Linked DNA regions of Bombyx mori. The protein of the gene in region 1 purifies or fractionates together with the protein of each later gene. This does not show direct contact. Links are inferred from orthologs where the notes say so. Each region holds a gene or a part of one and is shown in the gene's direction. Other genes may lie near its edges.

Region 1 (3,627 bases):
ACGTTATAAAAGTATCCATTTCGTGTACACTAGTGGATGTATGCACATATTGCAGCGACTTTAACGGGAACGCGAGGAGTGAAGTTGTGCTATTTGTTTTATTTTGTCTATTTAGTCTTTCTTCAGGTTTAAATGTGTAATAACGGTGGTTTATTAACTGTTTAATATCTGTGTGAAAGTGCACAAATGTGGAAAAATGAAACAAAGCCGTTGGTCGTAACATCTCGGGATCCTCCAAAAAGTCCACTGAAAAAATCTCAGTAAATGACCACCATTTTACTGAGATTATATTTCATCCCATATCATCTCATTTCATTTCACTCCATATTATTATTTTTCATAAAAATAAGACTTGACTTAAAGGTCTTAGTTACCAGGTCATAAAATCCCTTTAAAAAAAATATCGTGTTGCAGCTTACCACAGCGCGTGCATCGACCCGTGGCTGACGCAGAACAAGCGCGTGTGTCCGGTGTGCAAGCGCCGCGTGGTGTCCGCCGGCGAGCCCCGCCCCCGCCGCTCCTCCTCCTCCTCCGACTCCGACACCGAGCCGCTCCTGCCGCAGCCGCGGGACCAGGTGCGCCCGCAACCACTCGTGGCCTAAAGGATAAGACGTCCGGTGCATTCGTATGTAGCGATGGACCGGGGTTCGAATCCCGCAGCCGGGTACCAATTTTTCTAATTAAATACGTACTCAACAAATGTTCACGATTGACTTCCACGGTGAAGCGATAACATTGTGTAATAAAAATCAAACCCGCAAAATTATAATTTGCGTAATCACTGGTAGGACGTCTTGTGAGTCCGCGCGGGTAGGTACCACCGCCGTGAAGCAGTAATGCTTTTCGGTTTGAAGGGTGGGGCAGTAGTTGTAACTATACTGAGACCTTTAGAACTTATATCTCAAGGTAGGTGACGGCATTTACGTTGTAAATGTCTATGGGCCTAAGCGATAAAAGATAAATAAAAAATCACCAACCGGTGGACCGTACGCTCATCTGCCTACAAGAACAACAATAAAAAATTGGATTAACTAGAATTTATTCACGACACAAATAAGTCCTAATATTTTTTGTTTATATAATCGTTTCAGGGAGGAGGAACATTTGAAGAGCAACGCGAGAATCCTTTCGTGCGAGCGGCGAGATTCATGTCGAGGTTGCGGGCTCGAAATAACCAGAATAGTGCTGATGCAGAGGTAAATCACATTTCGTTTGGCTGTATAGCCTTCGTTTCCTTGGCATTTTATTGATATACTTGCGACCCGCCCTCGCTTCGCTTCGGAAACATTAAAACACACATGAAACCAAAAAAATAAAATAAAAAATAAATAAATAAAAGTAGCCTAAGTTCGTCAGGGACAATGTCGGCTTCTAATGGAAAAAGAATTTTTCAAATCGGTCCAGTAGTTTCGGAGTCTATTCGAAACAAACAAACAAACAAATCTTTCCTCTTTATAATATTAGTATAGATTACATAACACAGAACAAATGCAGGGAATTCAACAATCCGCATACCAACATACCTCGCGTTCCCGTCGAGAAAGCAAAATGATTAACAAATATATTTTGATCAATGCTATTACGAGTTTTCATTGAAACGAAATACGAAATTTTATTCCACAGGTCCCTCCTGAACTAGAAGATAGTCAAGAAACGTCTGATCAGGACGAATTGAAGTAAGTTCGATTTTTCTCTTTGCCACCCACTAAATACGATGCAAAATAGTTTTGTATGGAATAGTATATGTGTAAAGAAAAACCTTTTTTATGTAATTTTTCTATAAAATCTTTTTTTTTTAAGTATTTCTTTTACGTACTGTACCCTCTGTCATTGAGAAAAAAGACGAGTTCAGTTTTATTTTATTCAAGAATACTGTGAAAAATAAAGGCTTTACATGTTTTTTTCTACGCAATTAAGCCTTTTATTATTGCTTAACCACTTTTAGAATATTCCATTATAAAGTGTTATCTGTGTCTGTTTCTTTACATATATAGTTGTATGGACTTTTTGGCGGGAACGCGAGGAGTAAAACTGTGTGATTTGTTTTATTTTGTCTATTGAGTGTTTCTTCAGGTTTAAATGTAATAACGATGGTTTATTAACTGTGAAAGTGCACAAATGTGGGAAAATAAAACAAAGCCGCTGGACGTAACTTCTCGGGATCCTCCAAAAAGTTCACTGAAAAAATCTCAGTAAATGACCACCATTTTACTGAGATTATATTTCATCCTATCTCATCTCATTTCATTTCACTCATCTTTCATAAAAATAAGAATATAAATTGAAATAAGCTATGACTTAAAGGTCTTAGTTACCAGGTCATAATCCCTTAAAAATATATATAGTTGTATTATACAATACAGTGTTATTAAGATAATAATTAATTTAGTATCGGTAGGACACCCTCATACCCTCTCTCCCCGTGGTGAAATGTCAGACCGATAACAATAAACATTGTAGGAGAATGATACCCCGCCCCGCTTAGCTGCTTACTATGCAGTTGTAGTAATGAGCAATAGACGTTAGTCAGTCAGTGGTTAACGTGCAGCGATCCACCGCGGTCGTTGACGCGAATAAACATGTAATCATACTCAGTGTTTTATTGACCGCCCCGATGAGGTTTCCGGAGAACAACACGCAACGGACAATCAACATAACTCACACACTCCGTCCACCTTCTCCATAAAAGCCTCACAACATAAATAAATAAATGTTGTTTCTGTGCAGCGGCAGTACCGAGGCGCAGCCCCTGCTGGAGGAGCGCGCCCCCCACTCCATCAACGGCTCCTCGCGCGGGGAGATCGGTACGTACCGCGCGCCGCCGCTGGCTTGAGGCGTGACATTTGAGGTCGCTCATTGTGTCACGTCCGAACCGGACCAGAATAACGACTATAGTATTCGATTCGGAGTCATAGGTAGCTTAAACTTGCCTTTTTTATTGTCGTTATATTACTTCCGAAGCTTCGAATACTCCACAGTCATAATGGCCACGGACGACTAAGGACACATGGATATTAAAGAACACAAAATTCATATAGAAAACGCGGAAATAAACGATAAAATGTAGTTTAAATAATACATCCCTAATAGATAAATAGTGGTACCTAGTTGTGCAGATGAGTCCGCGCGGGAGGGTAACAGCACTCTGCCTATTTCTGCCGTGAAGCAGCAATGCGTTTCGGTTTGAAGGGTGGGGCAGCTGTTGGAACTATACTTAAGACCTTAGAACTTATCTCAAGGTGGTTGGTGCATTTACGTCGTAGATGTCTATGGGCTCAGTAACCACTTAACACCAGGTGGGCTGTGAGCTCGTCCACCCATCTAAGCAATAAAAAAATAATACAGAAATTGTTTGATAGTTGAAATGTGTTAAGTGTTGTTCGTCTGTCTGTGTGTCCGCAGGGGTGGCGGCGCTGCCGGCTCCCGCCTACCACTCGCTGCCGCGGTACATCGACTTATGAGCCAGTACCCCTGCGCCGCACGACCCCCGCCCCCCGCACCGCCCCCGCCCAGCCGCGCCCCAACCATCACCAAAACGTCACAAGGAGTTTACGTTGCTTTTAGTTCACGAACTACATGTAAAGTTATCCGCCATTTTGAATACAGATGATACGCAAAGCGAATCTG
Region 2 (2,796 bases), about 6.3 Mb from region 1:
TTGATCAATAAATTAAGATACGTGAAAAGTCCTTTTGTTCAAATTTTCTGGAGGAAATTATACCTAGTCAGGTCATAAGTATTGTCACATTAAAAACTTTTTTTTTAGAATGCTGACCACAAAAAAGTTTATTGAATTCGAATTCCGAATTGTTCATGAAAATAAAAATGTATACTTTTAGAATTTTACTCATTTTTAAATATGGAGTGGACGCTTAAAGAAGACCGTGTTGCAGTTATTGCGTTGCATCGTTGCGGTTACGCGCCAATTAAAATTTTTAACATACTGAAAAATTTGAATATAACCAAAAGCCATCAAACCATCAAACGATACAATGAAGACTCTAGTGTAGATGACAGGTCAAGAAGTGGTCACCCTCGGTCTGTTAAGACTCCAGCAGTGATAAAAGCTGTGAAGGCGCGAATTCAAAGAAATCCCAAACGTAAGCAGAAACTGTTGGCCCTTCAGATGGGGTTAAGCAGAACCACGGTGAAAAGGGTGTTAAATGAAGACTTAGGGCTTCGGGCATATCAAAGAAAAACAGGACATCGTTTGAATGCTCGTCTAATGGACCTGAGACTGAAGAGATGCCGCGCTTTGTTGAAACGGTACGCGGGAAAAAAATATCGGGAAATTATTTTTTCGGATGAAAAAATTTTTACCGTAGAAGAGAGCTACAACAAACAAAATGATAAGGTGTATGCACACAGTAGTGAAGAAGCGAGCAACCGTATTCCGCGTGTCCAACGAGGTCATTTTCCATCCTCGCTCATGGTATGGTTGGGAGTTTCTTATTGGGGCTTAACAGAGGTACATTTTTGTAAGAAAGGTGTAAAAACGAATGCAGTTGTGTATCAAAATACAGTCCTGACGAACCTTGTGGAACCTGTTTCTCATACCATGTTCAATAACAGGCACTGGGTATTCCAACAAGATTCGGCGCCAGCTCATAGAGCGAAGAGCACACAAGACTGGCTGGCGGCGCGTGAAATCGACTTCATCCGGCACGAAGACTGGCCCTCCTCCAGTCCAGATTTGAATCCGTTAAATTACAAAATATGGCAACACTTGGAGGAAAAGGCGTGCTCAAAGCCTTGATTAAGGCAGCCGCCGATATTGACATGGACTTCGTTCGTGCTGCGATAGACGACTGGCCGCGCAGATTGAAGGCCTGTATTCAAAATACGGAGGACATTTTGAATAAACTTTAGTGTCATAAGAATCTATGTTTTGTTAAGTTCATTTTGGTATATGAATGGTTACATAATGAATAAACTTGTTTCAATTATTTTACATTCAACATGTGACAGAATTTATGACCTGACTAGGTAGATTGATTTATTAGTTCTCACACGCACATTTCAACTTGTAGAAATAAACATTTTTATGTTTTCGAACTTCTTGATTAGAATATTAAATTATAGTAGGCTATTTTTTTTTAAAGGGAAATTGTGACCTGGTAACTAAGACCTTTAAGTCATGTCTTATTTTAATGTATATTCTTATTTTTATGAAAAATAATAATATGGAGTGAAATGAAATGAAATGAAGATGATTAATTTGACACATTAATCAAATGGGATGAAATTAAATTAAATGAGACGAGATGATATGGGATGAAATATAATCTTAGTAAAATCTGAGATTATATTTCATGCCTGAGATTTTTTCAGTGGACTTTTTGGAGGATCGCGAGAAGTAACGTTCAGCGGCTTTGTTTCATTATCCCACATTTGTGCACTTTCACAGATATTAAACAGTTAATAAACCACCGTTATTATACATTTAAACCTAAAGAAACACTAAATAGACAAAATAAAACAAATCACACAACTTCAATCCTCGCGTTCTCGCCATAAAGTCCATATATATATAGGCTAATTTGAGGATGAATGTTGTCGAAAAACGATTAATAATCGCCTTGAATTGCCGTATGTATCTATACAATACAAAATCAGCTATAGTATAGGTGGTATAGTAAGTAACCTGTATATGCGTGTGTGTGCAGAGTGGGAGCGGCGGCCGGCGGTGTGCGCGGGCGGGGAGCTGCCCGAGGGCGCGGCGCCGTCCGACGACGAACCGCCGCCGCCGCACGACGACCCGCACCACGCGCTCGACCTCGACCTCGACAGGTACAGTACAGCTTATACTTTGGAGTTACTACCGTTGCTCGCTTTTTTTTCTACCCACGCTGAGAGCCTGGAGAGGCTATTTCAGCTTCGCCTTAACATGTAGGTGAGCTCACAGGGCTCAAACCGGAAGTGTTGCTAACACTGGACATAGCAAGAGCAGTGCTTCGCAGAATCTACCACCGAATCCGAAACGCGACCCGCTGAGAAGATCCGGCGAGAAACTCAGTGGATTATATTTATGGGTCAGTTTACTCGTCGAGCCTTTCGTCGCAAGCGATGGGTTCGACGAGAACAATGACCGGTTCTTGGGTTACCCAAAAGCACTGTTAGTGGATCGGGAGGATCTATAATGACGTGTCGTTGCTCGCTACTACCCGCGGCACGTCCTTTAGATCTGAACTGTATACCTAAAATCGAATAAAAACTTTGTAAATCATAATTTTTTTTTTAAGGCCATTACGCGAAGACGAGCTTCTTACGTCACGTCTCCAACAATATCCGTCCCCCGGCGTCGGTTTGCTAGACAAAAAGAAAGATAAACCGGCAAAAAAATCCAAAAACGCAGAAAACGACACGCCTGATAAACCTGTTAAGAAAAAGAAGGACAAGAAATCAAAGCAACGCAAGCAAAGTGCGACAGAATCGATAAAAAATGAGAAAACTG

What was found.
Region 2: the proteins of E3 ubiquitin-protein ligase RNF13 (region 1) and AP-3 complex subunit delta purify together in Homo sapiens (affinity purification with mass spectrometry; 3 studies listed by BioGRID and IntAct, counting the BioPlex papers as one, with this or other methods). This does not show direct contact. The link is inferred for Bombyx mori from reciprocal best matches to the Homo sapiens genes RNF13 and AP3D1.

What each region holds. Positions count from the first base shown.
Region 1 is NC_085121.1:15,589,374-15,593,000, reverse strand, and holds part of E3 ubiquitin-protein ligase RNF13, read left to right. Parts: intron 1-414; coding exon 415-575; intron 576-1,091; coding exon 1,092-1,196; intron 1,197-1,623; coding exon 1,624-1,676; intron 1,677-2,727; coding exon 2,728-2,804; intron 2,805-3,402; coding exon 3,403-3,461; 3' UTR 3,462-3,627. UniProt on the Homo sapiens protein: E3 ubiquitin-protein ligase that regulates cell proliferation. Involved in apoptosis regulation. Mediates ER stress-induced activation of JNK signaling pathway and apoptosis by promoting ERN1 activation and splicing of XBP1 mRNA.
Region 2 is NC_085121.1:9,322,125-9,324,920, forward strand, and holds part of AP-3 complex subunit delta, read left to right. Parts: intron 1-2,008; coding exon 2,009-2,132; intron 2,133-2,584; coding exon 2,585-2,796. UniProt on the Homo sapiens protein: Part of the AP-3 complex, an adaptor-related complex which is not clathrin-associated. The complex is associated with the Golgi region as well as more peripheral structures.